4 linked regions of the Neodiprion lecontei genome follow. The protein of the gene in region 3 purifies or fractionates together with the protein of the main gene of each other region. This does not show direct contact. Links are inferred from orthologs where the notes say so. Each region holds a gene or a part of one and is shown on either strand. Other genes may lie near its edges. The genes, in order: tetratricopeptide repeat protein 27, co-chaperone protein daf-41, protein AAR2 homolog and protein ecdysoneless.

Region 1 (5,932 bases), on a different chromosome or scaffold from region 3:
TACGCGTCAACGTTATCGTCGTTTCAGGTTGGCATCCTGTCGTACGGATCGGATTGCGAAATTAATTCAAATTCACCGTCTGCGTATGTAAGCGTTGCAAAATACGCCGACTGGATTCTCACCAATTCTTAAATATATATATATATACATTAAGACTAAAAAAAGGCAAATTTGAGCCTTTCTTATTTCCTCAATAGAATTTTTTTTACAATCTCACAAAATAGTAAGAAGTAAACGTCATTAATAAAATACTGTAAAATTATATCAAACTGATTTTGTCCGACATCCCATTTAGTTCTAGTCAGCAGCTTTGAATTTCTGGTGTCAAAGTATACCTGACACGGCAGCTACTTGGTAGTGTAGAGGAATTTCAATTATCACAAGTGGCTTATGTGAGAGTATCATGGAATCATTTTCGTAAAGTGTATCCTGCACGTTGTCCAGTAAGCGATTAAGCTTAATTCAAGTTTCAGTATTTGATAACAGTCAAGTAAATGAATAGACACCGGAAATAAAAGTAGATTATTTTCTAAAGAACTATATTCTGCGAAACGTAATTGGAATCAACATTTATTTTTCTCAACTCATCCAAGATTTTGGTCAAGTATGCTTCGATATTTGCCAATGATTCGTCGATGTCCTTTTGGCCAATCCAATCCTGATCCTTAACTTTCCTCACGACGCCTTGTAGGGACAATTTCGCGCTACCCAGCATCGCTCTTCTTTGTAGCGGTGATCCAGATTCTGCACACTTCAAGTATGACTCTGCCAAATCGGCGCATAAATTAAGCACGTCTTTCGTCGCTTCTACCTCCTTGAACCATTTCGGATTGGCAACAGCGGTACGATGCGCTCTCTGCAAGTATTGAGCCGCTTTCTGATAATCCATTTCCGTATTCTTTGTTGCCGTCAGCTCGGCGTACATCTGCCAAATCGAAGCATTATTCGGCACTGCCGCAGTCAAATGTCCAAATAGTTCCAAGGCTTTCTGGAGTAGTCTACTAGCAGGATTACCATCGGCATCTGTTATATCCGTGATAATTGCCTTGGTAAGAATTTTCAAAATTTGTACGTCAGTGTGATGAGCTTTCAGCTCGAGAATACGGTGGTAACACCGAATCACCTACAAAAGGAGAATCAAATTTTTCGTACGATTTGACTGAATTTTTTTTATCATTACTGTTCTCGCCCGAAAAGCCTCGATTCTTCTTACCTCCGAGAAATGACCCAAGTCAATACTAACTACCATTAGATTGTCCCACACTTCCCACCTATCGAAGTTGCATTTGACCGCATCTTGAAGGGATCGCCAAGCTCGGGGTTTGTCTCCGAGCTTGATATACGCTTTCGCCAAGTTGTTCCACGCCTCGAAATTCTAGTAAGTAAAAAGAAGGATTGAATAAACAAGTTTCACCAATATTGCATTCATTTTGCCGATAGATGTACTGACCATTTGCTCTAGAGCACAATAATGACGGTATGCATTAGCTGCCAATTTCCAATCTTCAATTTGCAATGCAGCAAATCCAAGCCTAATCCATATATTCTCTTGAATATTATTCAATTCCACAGACAATTTCAAATGCGGTACTGCCTCTGTGTACTGTAAGAATTGTAAATTCATTGTTACACTGAATGTTTGAATTTGTCTTCAAGATTGATTAAAATCAATTGCATTAGATACGATCTTTGATACATGAGATAAAAATTTGATTAGCGCTATCTCAGTAAACTTACATTTTGTTTTGAATAATAATGCAGGCCCCAGTGCCTTTGGGCACGGCTGCTCTTTTCACCAGATAATTTCCATGCAGTTTCATAACATTTTGTATCCTGCGTTGAATCACCTAAGAGACACCAAAGTTTTACTGTTGGCTTCTTATCGATTTCTTGTTGAATTATTTCTGCAGCCTGAAAGAGTTAGATGAAATGATATCACAATACCATAGGTAGTCATGAGTAGATGTTGATAGTTCTGAGCAAATGTCGCGTGGTGCTTGATCTCAATCAGTTGGAGATTAAAAAAATTGATTTTACAGAAATTTGCGCACCTTGTGTCTCAATTCTAATATAGTGTAGCACACAATTACGCTTTCCCAGAGTCGGAGATGCAAGTACAGCTCAAGAGCGCTCTTGACCATGCCTAGATTAAGCATCAGATCAGCCAAGGTTTGTCTAACTTCCCAGACAGGTTTCATACCACTGGCGAAAAATATATCCATACGATGGGAGACTAATGGCTTTGAAGAATTCAATTGCTCAATCAGATACTCTGTCTGTGACATAGATCTTTCAACGGTTCTTTTGTGATTCGATTCCAATATACAACGCTGACACAAAGATGACATTCTTAATGGCCAGTTACTCGAATTCTCTATAACATTCTGATACAAATGTCACATAATTAAATTATCTGTAAAATAAATTGCAATCAAGACTGGATTCCTAAATCAATTCATAAACATCAATTCTCACAATTAGGTATGGTACAACCTCTTCGTCAGCAAGTTTGTCTTTCGGTTGGGATTTTTGAATCTGAAAACTGCAAAAAATGAAAATTAAATGATATTAATTTCCTGGTATAATTTATTACTGATGTATGTACGAAAATTTTCAATTCAACGAATAGTAGTGTACGATTAATTAATGGAATTAAACTTATGGAGTTAAATATTTGCATAGATGTCGACGCATTTTCCCACAACAATTCTATAACCAACTTCTGGTAATGAGGTGAAATTTAAATATTTACCATACATACTATTTTGCTAAAACAACTGCTTCTTCCAAGGCACCCAGTTCAATAATTTCTGCAGGTTCAGAATATTCTACTCGTTCCAATCGCAAGTCATCTTTTAGTTCAAGAGCAGTGGGCAAATCTTGACACTTTCTGTACGGGAAATTGTCTTTGTCCATGGAAACTTTCAACATTAACTGAGCTTTCTCATCTTGTTGGTACTTGGTGCGTTTACCGAGCATGCCGACTAACTGCATGTTTAGTTTTGCCGAATGCTGAGCAATTTCCACGTGTTTTTCCATGTTCTGTATCCTTCTATGATACAAATAAAACTGCACAGCCTCGACATGGAACAACGTCCTGAGGTACTCATCACTCAAAATATCATCAGCAGAAATTTTTTCTACTAAATCCTCAGTTTCTTTGAATAAAGTTGCAGAAGCTTCTTCGAGAACAATTTGATGCAGTAAATTGGCTCTGAATAACCACCAAGCAGCAGTTCTGTGATGATTTTGTAATGTTTCATTAGAAAGCAATATTTTCGATAGATACAACAGCTCAGGCTTCTTCACATTTTCATTGCATTCATCTTCAAGGTGCAAAAACTCCAATGCCTCCTCACGTTTGCCCAATAACCAATCAATGTCCGGCGTATTTTCTGGGCCAGTGAAGTTAGTTTGGACAAAAAACAACAGCGAAGCTATCCCAACAGATAATAACTGAAACGTGCAGTTAGGATCATCGTTCACAGCGTCATGTAGGGTTTTTACGAGATTATTGTTATTGACAAACTTCTTGAGATAAGATGAACAGAATTTATTATTCAAGATTTGTTCATAATGTCCCATGTGGAATTCCTCAATACTGGGTAATGCCTGCGGGGCTGAAATATATTCAATTTGAGTGTAAGAAATTTGTGTTTGCTTTTTCGGGAACATGTGATATTTTCTTGCGCACAAATTTACATACGCAGAACAGAAGTTAACCTTACCTGAGTCATCCAAAAAATTCGTGATGAGTTTTACCTCAGAATTTTTCAGGTCTTCAGTATGCATTTTCTCCATATTTACGTTCGAATTTAGAAAACACGCTTGTCACAAGTCATCAAGGAGTACGCATATGTTTTTCTGCTACTAAATACCCGTGCAACAAATATTACCGGACAAGTGGCAACAAATCGATACGGTAGTGTTGTCGTTAGCCACGAATTATACGATACGCAATAGAGTGTAGTACGCTATACGGAAAATCTAACCATGTTTCCAAGGTCGCGGAGTCGCAAGTCCACGCACAAATGGCGTGGTGAATTCTCGAAAGGATTGACGATCATTTGGTTGACAAATTATTAGAGATTATTAGTTAGTTCGGCTTGTTTCATAGAATCAGCCAATGGTATAATGATTTTAGTTAACATTTACAAACATACGGGAAATCAAAAAACACCTGTAGTTGAACATCTCGAGTGTCATACCTGTATAACCTTTGCAATGGTACGACAAGTACGTATGATTCTAAAATATCGCTAATATCATGGAAATTACATTTAATAATACAGCAGAATCATAGAAGGAATTAATTACTTCGCGAGCTTACCCATTACCCACATCTGCTGGAAGGTAAACCATTTCCGATTTGCTCCACGCTGTCGCTTATGGTTTCGAAATCACAACACTCGATACGATAGTAATTATTTCTACTCAACCTTGAAGTATCCCGGAATTGTTTTATTCAAACTATTTGCAAGTTCTTATCTGTATTCATTGATGATAATATTTTATTGTTGCGCAGAAAATAGCTAGGCATAAGTATACAGCTGACGAGGAAAGTTATATTAGTGAAGTTCCTGGATATTGATTTCAAATTTAATAACGCATGAAGTGTTTGGTACGCTTTGTATCGCTTCATGAAGCAATAATTAGGTCCAGTTACAACTGCTGAGTTTCCGGTTGAAAAAAGAATCAAAGAACTCAAAAATTTCAAGCACATCACGGGATCAAACGTACACAGGCGGCACTCGGAAGTTGTCAGGCATTTATTTAAAGTTATTATTGATGGCGTTCGAGATACATACGTTGTTTCGCAGGCCCGAAAGAAAAGACATATTACATGTGCACGACGATAGTAGAAACTACAGATTCTTGATAATGATAAATATGTGAATTAATTATCAATCATTCTAGCATGAAATAGTAGATCAAAACAGGATCTCGAGGATAATTACATTATTACAAATAAATGATCTAAAACTAACATAAAATAAAGTTAGAAATATGACATTACTAAATTATAGCAAAAATATATTCCTCTAGTACTTTTAATGTAAAAAAAAAAAAACACAACAAGAATTAGGAATACAGCTTTGTGGATTTCTTTAACTCGCATTTGTACTGTAATTAACATTATTAATTAACAGTTCTTTTATTATTTATCAAATGCATGTTCATCTAATTAACCGTTGAAAATATTCATCACAGTTGAACACTCAGATGTCCCAAGTTGAGCTTGTCGAGGATATCAATCCCTAAAAATACAAATCACCTGTAGCACAGCGTATAACAGGTAAGTGTACGGTGTCTACGTGAACAAAATCTGAACAAGGTTGTACACCGTTAACCAAAATACGAAGTTAATTCCTTGACCTAGTGAACTTTGTCTATCTCGTTACCTTCTTTGCGATAATCGGCCATTGGATCTGCAGGAAAACGATGACCAGTAACAGTTGAGCTATAAGTAGAATTCATAGGACCGGTTCCCACCAATTGCGCAGCTACCAAAGCATCCATTAATTCTACTTGCGTACGGTACATCAGACGAGCATGACCCTCGGCTAACCTATTGTACATTAGAATTACTTGATAGTCCAATCATTACGGTGATGATGATGATGATGATAATGATAATAATAATTATTATTATAATGATAATTATTCCCGCTATAGCCTTTCCGATATGTCTCCATAAGTGAGTAGCTTGTGCAAGGTGACGGAGGGCTGGCTTAGTGACCATCATTATGCATAGTAGATCTCTATTATTTGTCAATATTTCAGGATGTAATGGCAAAACCTATGTGTGTGTTGTAATTATTAACAGTTAAAATTCTAACAAAAAGCTTAGATTAGTTACCTAACAAGGCTTTCTAAGAGTCGTACAGTTGTCCTTTCTGCTCTTCTTTCTGGATTCAACCTGTGGTATCGA
Region 2 (5,881 bases), on a different chromosome or scaffold from region 3:
TTAAATAAATATACTCACCGCATATTTGTCCTTGTAGAAGAGCGAACTTGTAGACATGGTGTTAATTTTAATTAAACAAACAAGCACTGATCTGGGCTACCTCAAACAAACAGCAAGTCAATACTCAGATTTGATACGGTCGTCATGATTGCTTTATTTAACATACATGCAATACGATACTGACTACATAGTTTAACACACTGCAGTCCACTGGCCACTGACGGATTGTACACATTGAACCGAACCGAGTTTTATATTTATAAAGAAAAAGCAAAACGAAAAAGTACTTCGCTGATCGGAGATAATGATGAGCGCACAGTGTCTGTCCATGCCATGGATGTACGTATGTGGCAAGGCATCAAAGCAGACGCTCGCCGTGTCGCAACTATAATTATTTAACTAATTTATTATGTATCTCAAGTATATAGTAGTGGACACTCGGCGGTCTATTCGTCACCTGGATTCAACTCGAAGGAGAAAGAGACTGGAAAACCTACTGTGTATGTCCAGTTAGATCGTCGCTACCAGAAGGGTACAGCCCCTCCATATCCATTGCAAGTGACCTACAATCTAAGTGCTGTTCCTCCCTACCACCTTCTCATCTCTTACCGATCTTAAGGAAGATTGGAGAGTTTGGTCAATACGGATTCCTCGATACGAACGGGTGGATTCGGCTTCTACGATCGTTTCGACACAAAACGTTGATAAAAAACTATCATCCAAATGATAATTATCACTCAAACGGAAACGCTGTAAGAGGGATAGATTTTTCGAAATATATGCGTTTCGCGAATATTTATACTTATCGCGGAAGCGCAAATTTCAGAATTTCATATATTTGTGTCCTCGATTTTTGATATTAATTTATTTATGTTGCAGCTATACTCCACGCGCGTAAATCTTCTACTCACTACCTGTGCAATAGATCGAGAAAGTTGATCACTTTTTTTTTCTCTCTCTCTTTCTCCTTCTTTTCATTTTATTTTAGTCGTACGTTCAACTTTGCTGCTTAAAAATTGTTATTGTAAAAACTTTGACGGAAGAATAGAGCATGGCGTATGGCAAGCGTTACTAAAGAATCGGTAGATTAATTGTTTTTAGAATTGTTGGGATTGTGTGATATTACACTTTTGACTAAAAGTTAGTTGAAAAGATGCAAACATTATTGTGCTGTGAATTTGAAATTTTACCGCATCGATGCAAATATGTATGGCACGCAATTGCTTTCGTTTACTCTTAGGTAAACCGAGATCGCCGAGAGATCATACTCGTATATTGATGCAGGTAGTCATCTATTATTGAAACTGACAATATGTATCATTACAAACGCTGGGTAATTCGAAAATGATTCAGTTATATTATAATTGATGTCTTTCTGACTCAGTCACGATGAAACGATTCATCCGATTTTCTTTACATAACGATTCTGTGAGTATATGACGATGAGAACTATTTAGCATAATCTATTAAATAATATCCAATGTGGTAACCTGTGCTTACCTATAAACCGCAATAGCAGTCAACATCCATCTTTATCGAAATGCCGGTTTTCGCATCAAGATACTATTACGACCACGTTCAATATGCGTTGCATCATTTTTCCACTTTGAATTCCCCGGGCTGAGCGTATCCTTCGATTATCTCGAAATCGATTTCGATTCGGATGAAAATCGATCTTCTCTCGTATCGAGACATCGAACCACGAATACATTGATGATCGTACGGCGATAAAAATATATTTTTAACCTGTCCACTTTTTGCTCGCCGCTAACAATTGCGAAGCGAGGGATACTTTTAGAGTTATTCCATCAACGGGATTCTTTGTTCTGCGGTGTGACAGGCATTATTATACGTTTTAAGTTTCGAGATTTGCCCAATAATAATGGCCGACGCTCTATTGTCCTGTCGATATGAATACACCTCGAAGATTGAATATCGAAAACATTTCTCGAGTTAGTTGTGCGGCGCGGTACGTAAGTCTTGCACGTTTGTTTCTTTTCGCTGGAAAAAGCAGCTACAAAATGACTCAAGAGGGACAGTAAGTAGCTAATAATTGACTTAAGCCTAGTTCAAAATGTAGAGTTGGATTTTGTGTCGAAACCTGGCTCACCGTCCGGTACATTATTCGTGCTAAATTGATTGTAAAAATACGCCTGCCGCCCTGCAGGCTTTCGAAACGCCGCCATGTTGTGAAATGGTTTTATTGATTCTCGAAATTTCTAGAAAACTAGTTCTAACCGACAATATTTACCTCGGGAGGGCTCCCTTATTAAATTATCGAATAAACTATTATCTATTCCTGTAATCGACGTCATGCCAACCGAATAAAACACCCTCTCGACCTCTCGAGACGCTTCGAATTCCCAAGCGGCTTGATGCGGCTCATGCTCGTAATCGTGTAACACGAGAGTACGAAAATGTTTTCTCTACTGATAAATCTGGCTTCTTATCAGCAGCCCCTCGTTATTCGATTGCTCGCTCTCAGTGTCTACCCTGGATAATTTACGGCGCCATAAAAAAAAATACTGCCCTTTGTCGATACATCAATCGCCATTCGCACTTCCGGCGTATTATGACTTGCCATTATTTTCCTTCCCCATGACCACGTTTTGAATACCACGAGTTCAATAAACCAGTCACATTTTTTCGTAATTCGAATATCTAGCTCATTCATATCGCGGCTCGAAACGTCATGTTCATAACCAAGAATTTTTTTTTACGTTTTACTTGATATTTACGAATTCTTGCTGTCCTTGTTTATTCTCAGGGTGACACCTCCGCCGGTGATGTGGGCGCAAAGAAGTAACGTAGTGTACGTTACTATATGTCTGGAGGACTGTAAAGATCCCACAATCAAAGTTGAGCCCGATAAAATATATTTCTATGGTATTGGCGGCACTGAACGTAAGGCGCACGAGGTAACAATCAATTTGTACAAAGAAATCGACCCAGAAAAGACAATCCAAACTCCAAAGGGCAGGAATTTCGAATTGGTCCTTACAAAAAAGACTCTTGGACCATACTGGCCGCACCTGACGAAAGACAAACAAAAGTATCACTGGCTGAAAAGTGACTTCAACAAATGGCAAGATGAAGACGATAGCGAAGATGAAGCATCCTTCGGCGGTGGTGGTGGCGGAAACCGTGACTTGGAAGAGGTAACATTGATTGATCTGCTTAATTAATTCATTTTCATGAAAAGAGTCGTAATGTTTAGTCTTTTCACATGAAAATTGATAAACTGTACACGAGGGTGGTTTGTGGAAAACAATTGTGTATTTTTCCATCCTTCAAATATGTCGTTTCAACTGTATTTTAAAAATTTCACAACCCACTAGATTCCATAAATCTCTTTCTAAATTATCCCATGATACAACAAAATAAAATAGAATGTTTTTCAAATTTATAAGTGTGCATTAACTGAGCATAGAGTATAAGTTTGTCGATTCTCTTTGTGAATGATATTGATGGCGGAGTATAATCTTTGGCATTGTGATGACCAGTCAGGCGTCAAACAACAAATTTCATCCAAGAAAGCAGCTTTAAACTAAGATTCTCTCAGAAGTAAATAGTACTTTATGTGGCATGCCCGTAAAGTTGGTGTTTTTACGGCAAGGATAATGAACGAGTAAATTTCATTACAAGGTAAAAGCTAGCCAAAAGCGAGTAATGAAATCATTATACGAGCCAAAAGTACTTTACGGGTGCACCCCGCACAATGTTTTTTGCTGGCAAAACATGATAAGTCCCTTTGCCGTCTGTTGAAATCTACACCTCGGATCGTGCAACAGAAGTCGGAACTGCTGTATAAAGTCTATATGCCAGTTCTGAGATGCACACTTAGAACTGGGGATCGAAACTGCCGTATAAAGTCTTTGTATTCTATTCTGAGGTTAGCGGTACAAAGTGACACTTTACAGATCGAAAACAGGCGTCAAAAAGTGACTTTTTCATGCCTGTGTTAAAAAAACGAGTATATATGTGATATTCTTTATCTACAATTGTCGGTAGCTATTTAAATAGAAGAAACTTTGATTTATAGCTTCATATTCTTAAAATAATCGGTATCTCGTTTAAACAATTTAATTAAATGTATTTTGAGATTTCACGTGAACTTAACGCTATTGTATGTAACAAAGAAATGTTTCAAGCTTCAGGATTTTTAACTCAATAAGAGTTCAATATATCTTTTTTGTTTCATTTACATACGCTTAATGTTGAGCATACTGCATTGCCGAATGACAAAAAGCATAATATAATCCGTCGAACTTACCATAAAAAATAATGTAATAGTATATTGCGATACGAGTGCGTGAAGTTGGCGATACCTGACGAGCGTGAAGTTTGTTGCTCGAGCCGAAGGCGAGTGCAGCAATGAAACCCGTATTTATGACACATGATAATTTTTGCAACACCTGTAATGGGAAGTTCGACTTGAGACAATCGTAAACGTGGTCTAATGTTAATGTAGATGTGTTACTGCAACACAGCCGACGAAACTGTAGTCACGAGTCGATTGCGTCAAATGGCACTAGTTGTACTAGTTTAGCTCAGAAAACTGTTAGAAAAATACGAGTTCCTAACAGTTGTGTGATATTTCCCAACAGTTTCTGAACTGTGAGGAATGGGGTACTTCGCACATCCGCCACAGTGCACAAAGTCAAACTTCCCATGCAGGTGTTACAAAAACATCTTTTCATTCGCGTTTGGATACAGTTATAGTATTTCGTTATTAAATCTTATTGGCAAAGTACCCACTGTAAAGTTACACCTTAAAACTTATTTCATATTTTTTACCTTTAAAAGGCCTACCCGGCTCTTTTAGGAGTCAGCAGATAACTCGGAACCTCCACCTGATGTGTTGACTATTTATATACATAAATCATACCTCTAAATAATATTGAATTTCAAGGACAAAATGCCAGCCCTCTAAAAGTTAAAAATTATTTTTGCCAGAGTTGAAGTTTTGCAAAGTTTCTCATTGAGCGCTCTAATACAGAAAGTTCATATTTTTTTTTGCTTCTTCATTTTACAGATGATGCGCCAAATGGGAGGTTTGGGTGGTTCTGGAGACCGCAAGCCAAGTTTTGACGATTTAGATGACATGGGAGATGACGCCGATGGTCCAGACAGTGATGACGATGATATGCCAGATTTGGAATGAAATTGTTTGAAAAAAATCAACTTACCCTCTCGGAAAGAATTGTGAGCTAAAACAGGTGTTCTTTACAGGCGGAAACTTTCGCATGGCCGTCTTGTTTAGGAAAAAAAAAAAAATTCCATTGCGAATGCTTTTTGCAATTTTAGAATCAATGGCCAACAACGTAATACCTAACTTTTAGCTAAGCGCGGTGCGCGAAAGACCGAAAACTTGAAAAGAAGAAAAAATATATAATAACATCTTATAAAAAAAAAATAATGTTGCTGGTAAACGACGAGCAGCCGTACAGTTTTCGACCTCCCCCACCACTACCCATCCCTTAGTCTTTAGCTCGTAAACTAAGTTATAATGCAAAAGCTTTTTTTTTAACAATGAATGAATTAAATGTGTAAAATATTAAGAAGGATATAAAGAAAACCAATAAATGGAAAAAAAAACAGTCTGTTTATTTGATAAAAACTGTCGAGGCTAGATCTCCACATGTGTGAAATGCCTGCTCACACTACGTTAAGAAAAAGAAAACTGGTACATGAACGATTTATTTGATTATTCACATAAGTGAATAACAAGGAAGTTGTTTTCTTGTATATGTAAAAAATAGTTTACACCAAAGCAGGTTATGAAGTACTTACGTAACCATTTCATCGATATTAAAAACTTCCAACAACATTGCGTACAATAGAAGATAAATTGCTGTACCAACGACCACTGCCTAAAATT
Region 3 (6,501 bases):
AAACTATCAGTTATACTTGCCTCTTTAACCAGGCCAACTAGTTCGCAGAAGGTTGTTCCAGTAATAGACACTCTGGGGAAGTTGCACGAGGATAATCTTCGAGCACGCGGTCTTCCATATTATCGTCTCTTCTTCTCTATTGGTTGAATTACGCGCTGGAGTCGGAGAGCGCGACATCCGCGGTATAAGATTTCGCTGACCATTCGGGATAATTCAGTCTGCGTTCGTTCAAGGATCAGTATGAAGCTCCACGGTTTGTTAGCATTCATCTTCGGCACGGTAGGGTTTGCCCGTTTGTCCAGGAGTTCGTGTTTGCTTCGAAATGCGAAGCCGAATGTGTACTGGTACCAGTGCTTCAGGACGAATAATTATTTGGCCGATGTGGAAAGGGCACCAATCGACGTGGACAGAGTGACGTTTGGTAATTCTAACATAAAAATTGTGCTGGACAGATCTTTCGACCGTTTGAGTAAGAATTTGGCACGATTGGGATTTTTCTACTGTGGTACCGAAGAAATCGAGAACAACGCTTTTCAGGGACTGACAGAGCTGGAATTTTTGGCCGTCACCGGAGGCAAATTGCAGGTCATAAAGGGCGCCTGGTTTGAGGGACTTTCGAAATTGCGGGTTGTTTCGTTCCAAAACAATCAAATTAAGCACATAGAAGACAGTTTCTTCTCCACGTCCCCGTTGCAAGTGGTGGACATTTCCTCGAACAAGATAACGTGTCTTCCAATTGCTTCGTTAACCAATTTCAAAGTGAAGGAGCTCTACTTCCAGTTCAATCGTCTCACGTGGATGTGCCAAGACATGATAATAGACTGGTTGAAGGGCAAGAACATTGAGACAGGGCACCACTTCCCCGAGTATAAAGATGCACCCTACGAGCTTATTAAAATGTGTTCAAACAAATTACCCAAGTCTTATCTTGACGAAGAAAGTTTTAACAAATGTATTGAAAACAGAACCAGCGAATTATTACCCAACCGAGAGAATTACACCATTAAACAGTTCTGCGAATTTCTGGAGAAGAAATCGTCACCTTTCTTAGATTGTAATGAAGATTGAAAATAAGTAGAATAGCTCGAATAATGTGTCATAACTTAACGCTTAATACGGCTATTAATACTGTATCTAATTAGAAATTAGGTCACACTTACCAATGCCCACAATATTTCTCCGCATTGTTCACATCTCGTGATCACTCCAAAGGTAATATTCTGATTGACCATCGATTGTTGTCAGATCTGCAATTATGTGATGCAGTGTTAATAAAATGTAGATTACATTCTCTGAAAATTCACTGCAAAGAAATATTATACTCACACTGTGTTGACGTGCTTATATGCAATTATTTCAAAATTTAATTTTCCCAATCCCCCCCTTTTTTTTTTTGTTGTTGCGGCAGTCGAGTCTTACATAAGTGAAACTGCAAATATATGGAAATTGAGCTGGATTAACCTCAGTATATTAACCCTTGTTGTTATTCTCCTACAGTTACACTGTATTGTAATTTAAGGATCGTTTTCCCAGAATTTATACGTAGCTGTAGCGAGTCATGCCAACCTACACGAAAGTAGACAAGTGCAAATAGTCTATCCTCTATGCGTATAAGCGCGAATCCGCATGAAATTGATTATGCAAATTATATATTACTGACGGCACACTAGACTAGACTTTGACTCTGCAGTCACTGACCGATTTATCGGAGTTTACAGATCGATAAAGCGAATCAGAGGTTACAACATTTTGTCATTCAATTTATGTTATTGTAAACAATTGCATTTGCAGCAACTAAAAAATTCTTGCGTATAAATATATCTTGTGTACATTAATCGCAATTATTCACTGTTCAGTGTTTTCCTCTATCTCGGCAGTATGGGGTTTCATCGCGAGAAGCTGACCGTAATTCTAATTCTCTGCATTATTGGCAACGATTTATAGTTTTCGCAGAATTTCGTAAAGCTGGAAATCGTTAAGTCGACGGTCACAGTAATCGAGGACGACGATTACGTACCTACCCGGAAATGAACGCGAGATTGTAAAGGAAGCTCCGAGGTTCCAGGGCCTTCCGAACCTGCCGATAATCTCGCTGAATGATTAACGAATCCAACAAATTGAGCCATGATATCAGCTACAACAAATTACTTGCGTTTCAAGATCAGCCCTCGCGATTTCCAAACCGCAGACATCGCACACGAGTATAATGTGTGGTCTTGAAAATGAAGAAATACACTAGAAAACTGGATGGACGAGAACCATGTTAGATACAGCCCGTAACTCATTATTGGAAATGTTTATCGACGCGCTCGTTATGATTTTTTTTCGTAATTATTTGATAAACGAGTGATAGCGATATAACGCGTGTCTCACTTTGAACTCATGAGAGAAGCTAGGAATTTCAACGTACGTTTACATTAGGAGATACAATTATTACAGCAATTCTTCTGAAAATGAAAAACGAGACCTTCTTACGTACAGAGAGAAATCACGGTGCGATGGATAACAAAAAGCACAATTTCGTAGTTCCAATGTAATAATTACATGTAGATTTTAGATTTGTGCAATTTTTCAAAACATTTCGTAATTTCACGTTATCCTATAGAGTCGAACTCTATCGGATATTCAAGTTTCTCATCTTTCATGACAGTGTGAGTATCTCAATGTATTCTAGTTGCCGAGATGAACGGTTTTCTTATTTATACACGATACAAATGAATTCAATCCACCTCTTATTGTTAATATTCAATCAGTCAAAAGTATCTTCGTAACTCTTTGTCCCCTTTCAGTCCAGTGACACAACGACAGGTGCTTCATCGTCTTCTTCGTCTTGCAGACAAGTAAAGTCCCAGAGAAACTTTTTCGTGAGTCTATCGCGCACTCGGACCGCCTGGGTTTTCAGACGTCCGTCGACTTTGTCGTTAGATTCAATATTGGCAAACAAATTACGCAAGTTGTGATATACGAAATTATTGCTAGCCACAATGTCGCACAGCACTTCTTCCGGGACGCAGGCCACTTGAGCCTCCAATGTGTTTAGAAACTCCGAGTAAATGGAACGCCGCAACGGTATCGCCGTGTCGGCCCCGCACAAAAGACCGACCAACTTCTTCCAGTGCTCAAACGCATCCAAGCTTTGTCCTACCAGGAAGCAGATGAACGCCAGCTGAAGTTCTCCCATTATTTCTATCGGGCTGTAATTTCATGATTTTCAATTAATAGCCGTATACAACTTTCGCTCCTTATTCCAAATGAAAACCAGATACTCCACAGACTTTTTCAATTCAGCCAACATTTTTTCCAGGGCGTAGCTCGAATCAAGAGAATGTTGCGTTATTTCGGCAGGTGTTGCTCCATCAGGATAGCTTTTATCCGGTAGCTTAGTTAGCCTCAGTTCAGTCCCAGCTCTTGGTTTCAATTGGGGAAGCAGCTGCTGCTCTCTGTCCTCGGCGGACAAACCGCTGCGTCGAGTTCGCTTCTCCACAGCCTCTCCTCCTCGTGGTCTAGAAGCATCGTCACAATTCTCCAACTCCAGAGCTGATCGGATGTACCTGAAAAATGAGCAGTATTAGTATATGTAGAGGAGTTATTAATGCCGAAAGCTTTCCATACCCACAAACTGGTGTACATCTTTCTACAACCGCATCGTCAATTGTGTTGGTCAATCCCTTCCACTGTTCCCAAATGTCATACGGATAGGGGCCAAGAAACTGATCAAGGCTAGTTAGATTCTGTTTTAAGCTACGTACCGTTTCTTCCGAAGGAGCTGCAAGAGAAAAAGGTGTCAATATGTGGATGCTGATGTAAATTGTATACGGGAAGAATTAAGAAGTCCGTACGTTTTGTGCTGACATCCTCTTTCTCCGCGTCCCAAGACATGGCCAAGAATTCAGACTTCTTGAAGTTGTGAATGAAGCCTGAACGGGGTGCAAGATCTCCAAACTCATTGACAGCACTGCAACATATCAAGTGGAATGAATAGAGTTTGTTTCAATCATCGATGATTCTATCATAAAGCCTTGCTAATTCTTGTTCACAGTTTCATTCACCTGTAATGAATATAGTGAAACCCTGGAGGAATCATTTTAACGCCCTTGAACTTTTCACCGGTGTTCCAAGACTTCATATCAACTCCAAAATCCGTCCCCAGAGGAACATTGAGCAGAACCAAAGTCGCCCCTTCAACCAAGAGGCGTTTAGCCAATTCCTGATCCATTTCGACACTTTCCTTGTTGCTCATTTTTCAAATAATCCTTCAAAGTTACACTTTGGACATCGAATCTTTACATCCTCTACAAAACATAATAAAAATGAAATAAGCGTGTACAAATGTTAAGATTGAAGTATAGTTTATAACCTATTTACTCACCGATTTTACATTTATGCTGCGACGTACGTATGTCAAGTACGATTTTACGCTCTGAAATGAATAGAGGCATCGACAAATTTGCGTCGTTCTCATGTCGCCATTTTATAATTATTTGTAATGCACAAAATTAAGACTTTTTGACAAACACGGTGAACCGTCACGCACATAATTCACAAGCCGACAGTCGGAGTTGCGGCCTTTGATTGGCGGACGCGCATCTACAGCTGATTTTGTATGTCTATGGATTTTAGAGATTTCTGACTCCATGTTTCATGTTTCCATTTATCGTACCGATCCAAGCGTCACCTGTAATGTGTTTTACAGCCTGCCGGCAAAATAGAATTTAATGCGAACGTTCTTTGCAGCGGCAATAGTTATTGATTTTACCAATAATTATTTCACGCAATATTATTACTTCAATTACTTCCAAGGCTTTTTTTCAAATTAAGCATAACCGGCGATCTGATTATGATCCGAGAATTCCTGATACACATATCTATTGATTACTAATTTTCTAAAGCTACAGTCTTGGTAATTATTAAATTACATTAATTTGTCCTAGTTTTATATAATTATTAGAGTCTCAGAATATGCGCTTATATATGTTTCAATTACAAGTGTAAGAAATTTGAAATGATATGAAAAAGATTAATTGAATGACACAAGATGGAATTAAATTGCCAATGATAACACAGGCCTGCGAAATGTAACTTTTAAATTTTTTTTAGGTATTTAGGTATGTTGAATTAAAATATAGCGCTTGTTTTTTTGAAGCACATCGAGATTTATTTTTATGCATTTTCGAACTATTTTGATGGAAAAAAGAAGATAAATAAATAAAAATAAATATAAAACTGAATGTTTAGGTATAAAATGAACAGCATGATGTTCAAACAAGACTAAAGAGACTAGATAAATCGAACACACTTGTGATATCCTTCTCTACTTTATTCAAAACTCCTGTTCAATGATAAGATGAACCGAATCGTCAGTACAATAGAAACAGATTGAACAGGAATTTTTAAGAAAGTAGAAAAAGATATTACAAGTCTATTTGATTTATCTAGTCTCTCAAGTCTTGTTTGAATCTAATTCTGTACATTTTGTACCTAAACATTCAGTCTCATATTCATTTTATTTATTTTTTTCATAAAAATAAATCTCGATGTGCTGTAAAAATAACTAGGACTATATTTTATTTCAACTTACCTAAATACCTAAAAAAAGCATTATTACGTGAGGGAGAAATTCAAAAGTTATCGCTTTCAAAAATAAAATTGGTACATCTTATATTTACGTAATTTCAATTTATTAATCTTGTCACGTTACCGTAATTTCCTTACATATTACCTAATTCATTTACATTAAAACTATTTAAATATTTTATGATATATGTATACGGTTGTGTATAGATATATATATGTGTATCTATACATATCTATTTATTCATTTATTCATTGACCTATATTCATGTATCAACTATTTACACGTGTGTATCGATATTACAATGATATATCACGGTTATTGAAATCATAATACGATGATAATACGTTCCTTCTACATGTTAAATTTAATATAATACAAACAATCGTATATAATAACCGTCGATCAGAATCCTGGTCATTGTCAGCCCATGCTAGCTAACTTACATTTTCTATCCATTGTAATAATTGAAATATAAAAATAATAGCCTCCGTTAGGCAGCTCCGAAGCTGTTTTGGAGGGGCACCAGATTATTCATACTGGCTGCACAATTTCTGGTTTCTGAGCATTTATACCGCGTTTATACATAGAAAGCGGCCTCATCTTACGAAAATTTGTAACCAAGTACTGCCGGGCGAACGCAAAATATATATGTATATATATATGTAATTCATTTAATTTTACTTTGCCGTACCGCGCAAAATCTTCTGTTTAGGCACTACAATTACAATATAAGTGATGTCCTTCAGTCCTATATTTATTAATCTTATGTTTTTCCTAATTTTTCTCCTTTCTCAGCTACGTTACTTAGATAGGTATTTATAATTAAATCACATTTTACTCTGTGACTATGTGTGTTATAGATTGTTGATTATTTTTAATAATATTATTATTACTAATATTATGTATTTTATCATCGTTATTTTTAT
Region 4 (7,778 bases), on a different chromosome or scaffold from region 3:
TAGATTGTTAATATCGATGGCGAAAACAGGCGCGAAAGTTAAAACATTTCTAACTATAATTGTAAAAAGAAAAATGATCGCGAAAATTTTTAATTATCATTATTGTTAATTAAGAATGTGTACAAAATATGAGAATTTAATATAAAGTAAATTATGGAAAGTTAAATATTTAAATACTCTAATTAACAGCGAGAAATTTCGTAGAAAATACAGATTTATTATCGACCTTACAATTAGTAATGTGTATTTACTTATTATAGATAAGTTGCTGACAGATGTTTGCACAGAAATTTAAATTACTTTCGGCTTGACGATATCGATAGTTCAATATTTTCCATAGACTTTAAAAAACATCGGTAGTCGAAACATCATGAATGTATGTCGCCCATTCCTATCGTATGTTGTCCGACATATCGCAAGGTGTTGTATACAAGTATTTATTTGTACATACGCATACGAATAGACGTGAGTGTTTGTAGTCCAAGCTTAATAATCCAACTTACGTTGGATCTTGTCGCGAAAGCAGGCGCATCCTTATGAGCTATGCAATTGGCGTATCGCCAAAACAACGAATTCAGTAAGTAAGTATAGGCGATTGCCGTTTATTAGACGAAGAAGGAATTCTCGCTCTCAAATGTTTACGATAATATTAATTTACAATTGCGTTTAATAGACGAAATATTTGGAAAGTTATAACAGAACTTTACTGCTAGTGTTGATAATACAAAAGATATAAAACGAGAATAAAAAAATAAAAATAGTGCAAGTCAATAGTTGCCAATTCACAATACATTGGCTAATACGATTGCTTTTCGTCCAAATATATTGGAGATAAGCTGACTACTGACGTCGTACTTAAAATTAATGATAATTGTGAAAAATTTAACTTTGTAAGTCAGGTGGAACAGTCGAGGGTGATTGCAGGTGTAAATGCAAGAGACGTCGAATGGGTCCGCCAAGAATATTTCCAACAGCTCCTGCACCTCCTGCTTCACCTTCTGCGCTTTCTTTTAAATTTAGCTCCATAGTCGAATCTTCAACGCAAGTGTCTGTATTAGATTTTTCTCGTAATCCGCTAAGGTGCAAATCCATTTCTAGTTGAGAGTCGAGCAGTCTCATGTACTTGTCCAATTCACCACCTTTATCCTCCTCGCTTCCACCCAACGAACCTTCCGAGTTGCTGTCGAAATCATTTTCATCTCCTGGCACAACAAGATCCAAGATTCCACGTAAAGCGGAATCAAATGCATCTGCATTGAAGTCTATCCTCGTATCATCGGCATCACCATTTGCTCTGATTTCGCTGTTATCGTCATTTGACTTGGACAGTTGGCTGAATCATAAATCATCACTATTGGCTATGCAACTCAGACCAGATCGAAGTCAAATTAAAGATGAATTGGTTAGACCGTCAGAATCAAAAGTTGGGATAGAGAATAAAACTGTTTTGCAAAATTTCCAGAGATGTTGCTCAAATCAATGATAGTAATCACGAATGAAACAACATCCCCACTGTATAATACAAAAGATTCCGAGCAAATTCAAATAGTTAAAGCTAAGATGTCAAGAATTTAAAAAGTTTTACACTTAGAAACGTTCCAAGAGCTTAAACTCTGATGTTTTTGATCAGATTCTAATGTTTTTCGGCTTAGTTCACTAACTAAATTATCACAAATTGTATGAGAAACATGCAAGAAATTTGTAATCAACCTATAGCTATAATGCACAAATGTAATTGCTGATGAAGGTCTGTTATACTTTAATGACAGTAGTCAGTAATATATTTTTATCCACTCTGCAGATAATGGTAAGTAGAAATTTTTAGGTGATCTATGGAAGTCTCTATGGTGAACAAAATGAGCCCATTAGCATTAGAATCGGATAAAGAACAAGAAAGTTCAATCATTTCAATCTTTCTAGTTATGAAAGCTTTTACTCCAATTATTGATAACTTATTATATAATAGATAATAGAATTGCTGTTCCACTCGTGTTCTTTATTTATTATTCATGCAAATAATATATTCATGGAGATTTCTTGAACGATTCTTTCTCTTTTCATAATTCTTTAATTTGACGGTCTGGCTAATTTACTCTCAAAACAGTCTTTTCATTCCAAAATTATGAACAACGTACCCCGGGAACTGAACTCCATCTACGTCGCTTGAATGTTGCAAAAATTCCCGAACTTTCTCTTGGATTGATGGCGGGTGCTGATCTACCATTCGATCATTTGATGACCACTGCTGGTCCAGCATTGAGTGCAGTTGTTCTGGATCTATGTTGAGCCAGTTATCATTGTCTGGAGGGCTCAATCGCCCTTCACCTATTACAAAAACTAAATACAGCATGTGCACACAGCACGTCTTCCACTTAAAATATGCTTTTGATGATAACAATTTCATATTTTGAAGTAGTGTTGATTTTGAAACAATAAACTTGAATTTTTCTTTAAATATATATACAAATGGTACGCTTAAAAGAAGTACACAAGATGTGTTTAGAAATCAGAGTTAATTTCTAAGATCGTAGACGTCTTACTCAATGACTCGATATCATGGTGCGGAGCATTACGCCAGGTCTCCAATATTCGATGAGCCTCGTTCTTGTCACCAAATAAAGAATGATCCCTGGAACTGGATTGAAAATACTCCTTGGCCATTCTAAGCAGTCGATTGTATTCTTGACTACCCTCTAAAAGATTTCGGAAATATCCGTTTGCTGTCAACCGTTTCAGATATGCAACCCATTCGGTTTCATTTTTATTTTCATTGTCTTCATTCTGTTTGATTTTGCGACTGGCTCGTGCAACAAGCATTTCCAATCCACACGATATCTTTATCCCCAACAAATGCGGCTTATGACAAGAATCATTGGGTGAAGGTAAATTCCAACCAGTTCTTGGATCCCCAGCGTAACGACAGTGAGTTGCCATCGCGTATAGGCATCTAGTCATTTTCACATTGACCATGGCACGTTGTTCTGGTGGAAAGTACTTCATCGCTTGGCAAACCTGGAAGAAATAACCAGATATCTGTTATTAGGTTGTTTAGAAATCCGCAGCTCGAATAGTTCAAGTGTTATAAGCCTTGAAAGTGAACTTTGTATAAAAATCCATCTTTAAACTTCTTCAGTTGCTTGTATATAGACTTCACTACGTTACAAAAATTTAAATAACAAGATTTAGAGGAATTTATTTTCTAGAAATGCTTACAGAATCAAGTCCACATTATAAAATATGGCTGTTTAACCATGGTGGGCACTAAAAATAGTAAAAAAAAATTCCCAGTCTTCTCCCTAACTTTTCTTGACCAAAATGTAATTTGTTTATAACTAAAATTCAGACTAATAGCGCCAATTCGGCTACCTAATATATAGAGTTCCAAATCAATCGGTTTTCAAAAACACATTTATGATCTATATAAGTCATGGAACCGAGCACGTAAAAAAAAATTGTTTCCCGAATTTCTTTTCTTCATCAAAAAAGCTCTATTCTTTTTTATTTTAGTACACTGCCGTAAAATTCCTCGAATGATAATAAAATTTCCTGCAGTATACATGTAAGAGTATAAGAGTATGGACAAGAAATTGGGGGACAGATGGGAAACATGGATGGAAAACATATGGCAGAGGGTGCCAAGAGGAAAATAGAAGAAATGCTAAAAGGGGAGTTACTACTAGAAGCCTATGAATTTAGTATTTTATTTGAAAAGTGGGATTAAAAGATGAAATACACAGATTATACAAGTCAAAAATAAAGATACGGGTATATAAATATATTTGTAGGAATACTGAGGTATTGCAAAGTTAAATAAATAAATGTTGGATGTAAGTTCAAAAACATAAAAATGTATGAATAAACGAAATTAATGAATATAAATAAAATTAATAATAAATCTCCCTGACTTTTCTCTAATTTCCCAGGTTATTTTTAGAATTTTTTAGATTTTTCTCGACTTCCCAGTTTTTTTCACTAGTGGACAACATGGCAACGATTGAAAAAAAAATCGCAGAGTAATTGAAATGGAAATAAATGGAAATGGAGAATAAATTATACAGATAAAAATCGGATTCAAGATAATCTGTTCTGAAACTCAAAAAAATTAAAGACAAATCTACAAATTGGCCCCTGATATTTCAGTGAAAATTGGTACACTTACTTTTCTCTCAAGTGGATCCGATTGACAAACAGTCCTCAGTGCAGCTGCGATCAAACCAGGTTCCTGTTTTAGTATGGCGATAGCTCTTTCTGGTAAAAAGACCCGAGCTTTGTGGATTCTGTTTTGTATTTCCTCTGGGTATATGGCAATTTTCTTTTGAATAGCAGCTTGTATACCATACTGCATTCTGGAAGCTGTAGGTTTCTCTCTGATGTTTCGCAGCATTTCTATATAAGACAGGTTTTCATCTCTAACAACATGTATTTCGCCATTATATATGAAAACACGATCCTGACAAGTTTGTGGTGTCGCCCAACTTGGCAAAGACTCTGCAGCTTCAATTAGCAAAAATTCTCCATCAGAGTCAACCAATTTTACGATTAAGCCATCGAATGCCTTCGTCAGTTCCATTACCAGAAACACAAGAAACCACTCGTCACCAACATCCTCGTCAAATCGCAGACTAGCATATATGTGTGGTGGTAGCTGATAATCTACAAAAGAGGAACTGGAACTAATAGTGCTATAAATTGAAGGGTATACAGGGTGTCCCTAAATTGCCTCCCACGGACTAGATAGCATGATACCTCGTTAAAATCCAACCGAGAATTTTTTTTCCGGAAGCTCGTCCGACGCGTAGTTTTTGAATTATAAGCGATAGCGCTAGGCCAATCAGAGTGCACCATTTCATCTAGATTTGCCGCCACGGATATTGCTGTTTTGTTCGACTGGGTGAATTATTATTATTCGTTTACGAATTAAATATCGGCACCTCCCCTCTCTCCCTGTTGTACCCCTTCTCGAGCGCTGACCTCGGTATTGTTGCCGCGGCATACGCTGCCGGCCGCACATCCATGGGCGCACACTTGTGTGTGTAAACAGAAGCGCATCCTCAAGCATAAGGGGTACAGCAGCGAAAGAGGGGAGGTGCCGATATTTAATTCGTAAACAAATAATAATAATTCACCCAGACGAACAAAACAGCAATTTCCGTGGCGGCAAATCTAGATGAAATGGTGCACTCTGATTGGCCTAGCGCTATCGCTTATAATTCAAAAACTATGCGTCGGACGATCTTCCGGAAAAGAAATTCTCGGTTGGATTTTAACGAGGTATTATGCTGGCTAGTCCGTGGGAGGCAATTTAGGGACACCCTGTATAATTCATGCAATGAAATTGGTGACACACATTTTCATACCTACAAAACATTATCTTACTTTACCTTCCACTCGAGCTCCACCATCAAGTTCTTTGTTGAGCTGGATAATATTCTTTGTTCTGGCTTGAAAGCCTAACGAGTCTCTATGCCATATGTATTCATGAGTATACTTTGAAATTCGATTATTGTATTTGTTTATTTCAGATACTAATTCATCTTGAGATATTTCCTCCGTCGATTTGTAACACAAGTGTGGAAAAAGAAAACACTCGACAAGATCATCCTCTCTAGTATACTGCAGCGGGATTGACATGATTGATCGTTTCAGTAATCAGATTATACTTATTCTTTGATTTCTCCTCAGTTAATGTCATTCAACTTTTCACAATTACATACATACTTTGATCTAACTGCGATCTATGCATATTGCAAAATGAACAACGGAGTGAATCAGCCCTGACATAACCTAACTTTTCAAATACCAAGTTGCAGACTAGAGCTTTTGAATCATTCCTCCATCGACGCTGATCTGATGCACCATGATGCACGAAAATACAGTTTGCTAAACGTATTACTATTCAAAAGCAGTACAAAGTAGAGTCCCTATAGAGACTAAATACAAACTACGAATGCAACGCCATCTAGTGATGATTTACTGCACTACTTGCATTGTATTGGCAGAGATGAGTAGGTATTGGACTACAGTCAGATTGAATGATGTTTTCTATACCAGAAGTAAAATATGATAAATAAACCTAAAACGATCAACTGATTACCAATCTCGAGACCATATTGCAATTACACCCGCCTTTGATATTCACCAAGGATGCTGGCGACGACACACGTCTTTAACGCGTGGTGCAAGTTCCAGTATTATTGTATTTCAATGGGTTTTAGAGAGACAGGAGAGACACGAGGGAAAATTTTTACTTCGGCTACAGAGCCTAGATATAAGGAGAACGATCGTAATGTATGAGACACGGCCGAAAATTTATGAATAAGGGGAATACCGTAATCGCATGATACAGATATCGACCTGGCCTTAATGTCACCAGCGCCATTCTGGTGGACATGGTAAAAACTGTAATATTTTCCCTCCTTTCAGACCGCAAATAAAGCCAAACAGCCTATGTCGATCGTTCTCTTTATATCTAGGCTACATGATTACGACCATCTTAGGATGAGTGTTTTTTGGTTCAGATTGTAACGGGCAACGCGCGTCATTGAAACGTTGTTAACGAGCAAGTGTATAATGATAAAGCTAATAATTTGTATTAAACTTATTTAGGAAGAAACGAAATAATGCCGTCGTGTATTGCGTTAAATTGTACGAATGTATCGGCAGAGGCTCGTAAATCAAAAAGACAAAAATTGTTAGAGAAGAAATACAAAGTAACTTTTCATAGGTTAGTCAAACTTATATCGCTTTTACTTTATGTTACGTTACGTATGGGATTATTTTACCTGAACCTTGATTTTAATATCATTTGGTTGTTTTTTGAGTATATGTTAGCGGGAAAAAAAAACAACAACGATACCAATGATATTATTAATGATACAGGTATCGATATTTTTGCAGATAATTTCTTTACGTCTGTGTATTTTCTTAGGTTACCAAAAGATCCAACGAAACGACAAAAGTGGCTCGATAGCCTGTGTATTCCAGAGCCCAGAGGCGCGAGTCCTATGATATGCTCAATTCATTTTCCAGAAAATGCGTTCGACAGGACGTCCCAGTCTTGTGTGAGACTCAGAGAGTTTGCAATACCATATGTAAGTATGTATCAAAGTATAGAAATTGTATTTACAAGCAACCTATCTGTATTTTCAATGAGACACAATGCGACACTATCAAATGAAGAATGAAACTGCGTTGTGTCTTATATAAATTTTTTTGGGTATTCGAAAAATTCAGCACATTACAGGGTCCCTTGGATGAGGAGTTTCACATTACATTGCACAAGTCCGATCAAAGCAGATTGCCCCAATCTCTGAAGCAGAAAACTGTATCACAGATTAATCACCAAGAGGTGGAAGATGACCCTGAGGAAGTAAAATATTTGGATGAGGAAAATTTTAGTGACGACGATGAAAAATTTGATGAGTTATCCAATTCTGAGGGTAAATTAACAGACATAGAATTATTGCTTTCAAATGTTGACATAGTTTAAATTATTTTGATGATGTTTGAAGGATTTTACAAGCTTCAAGAAAGCTTTTGATTATTTTTAATTAAGTCGAACTGGAGGTGAATATCTGACCCAATTTCTAGATCAAACTCATATTTCTTATTTTGCCTAAACTCCTTATTTCGCATTACAAATCTAAAGAATATTGGTGTTCTCGTGTTTCTGTATACTGGAATAATTTTCCAAAAGAAATAAGAATTTTTAGAAAATGATTGAAATTTATTTCTCTGGTATATAGCTGAAAAAGTTTGCACGTATCTGTAAAAGAACA

Evidence for each region.
Region 1: the proteins of protein AAR2 homolog (region 3) and tetratricopeptide repeat protein 27 purify together in Homo sapiens (affinity purification with mass spectrometry; 3 studies listed by BioGRID and IntAct, with this or other methods). This does not show direct contact. The link is inferred for Neodiprion lecontei from reciprocal best matches to the Homo sapiens genes AAR2 and TTC27.
Region 2: the proteins of protein AAR2 homolog (region 3) and co-chaperone protein daf-41 purify together in Homo sapiens (affinity purification with mass spectrometry; 3 studies listed by BioGRID and IntAct, with this or other methods). This does not show direct contact. The link is inferred for Neodiprion lecontei from reciprocal best matches to the Homo sapiens genes AAR2 and PTGES3.
Region 4: the proteins of protein AAR2 homolog (region 3) and protein ecdysoneless purify together in Homo sapiens (affinity purification with mass spectrometry; 3 studies listed by BioGRID and IntAct, counting the BioPlex papers as one, with this or other methods). This does not show direct contact. The link is inferred for Neodiprion lecontei from reciprocal best matches to the Homo sapiens genes AAR2 and ECD.

What each region holds. Positions count from the first base shown.
Region 1 is NC_060265.1:20,125,579-20,131,510, forward strand, and holds tetratricopeptide repeat protein 27, read right to left. Parts: upstream 3,954-5,932; 5' UTR 3,802-3,953; coding exon 3,729-3,801; intron 3,621-3,728; coding exon 2,762-3,620; intron 2,543-2,761; coding exon 2,476-2,542; intron 2,385-2,475; coding exon 2,052-2,384; intron 1,912-2,051; coding exon 1,738-1,911; intron 1,604-1,737; coding exon 1,451-1,603; intron 1,376-1,450; coding exon 1,214-1,375; intron 1,124-1,213; coding exon 530-1,123; 3' UTR 523-529; downstream 1-522. Other genes in the region: uncharacterized protein LOC107223251, read left to right, coding at 28-132; DNA helicase MCM9-like, read right to left, coding at 5,206-5,258, 5,403-5,569, 5,861-5,932.
Region 2 is NC_060263.1:36,975,600-36,981,480, forward strand, and holds co-chaperone protein daf-41, read left to right. Parts: upstream 1-1,829; 5' UTR 1,830-1,910; coding exon 1,911-2,038; intron 2,039-2,767; coding exon 2,768-3,158; intron 3,159-5,035; coding exon 5,036-5,164; 3' UTR 5,165-5,378; downstream 5,379-5,881. UniProt on the Homo sapiens protein: Cytosolic prostaglandin synthase that catalyzes the oxidoreduction of prostaglandin endoperoxide H2 (PGH2) to prostaglandin E2 (PGE2).
Region 3 is NC_060260.1:3,707,330-3,713,830, forward strand, and holds protein AAR2 homolog, read right to left. Parts: upstream 4,582-6,501; 5' UTR 4,370-4,581; intron 4,293-4,369; 5' UTR 4,241-4,292; coding exon 4,050-4,240; intron 3,956-4,049; coding exon 3,840-3,955; intron 3,767-3,839; coding exon 3,613-3,766; intron 3,552-3,612; coding exon 3,276-3,551; intron 3,195-3,275; coding exon 2,786-3,194; 3' UTR 1,069-2,785; downstream 1-1,068. Other genes in the region: matrix-remodeling-associated protein 5, read left to right, coding at 241-1,068. UniProt on the Homo sapiens protein: Component of the U5 snRNP complex that is required for spliceosome assembly and for pre-mRNA splicing.
Region 4 is NC_060261.1:11,728,887-11,736,664, reverse strand, and holds protein ecdysoneless, read right to left. Parts: upstream 6,018-7,778; 5' UTR 5,632-6,017; coding exon 5,382-5,631; intron 4,654-5,381; coding exon 4,160-4,653; intron 3,013-4,159; coding exon 2,541-3,012; intron 2,326-2,540; coding exon 2,136-2,325; intron 1,334-2,135; coding exon 883-1,333; 3' UTR 83-882; downstream 1-82. Other genes in the region: uncharacterized protein LOC107217828, read left to right, coding at 6,621-6,724, 6,929-7,091, 7,244-7,439. UniProt on the Homo sapiens protein: Regulator of p53/TP53 stability and function. Inhibits MDM2-mediated degradation of p53/TP53 possibly by cooperating in part with TXNIP. May be involved transcriptional regulation. In vitro has intrinsic transactivation activity enhanced by EP300.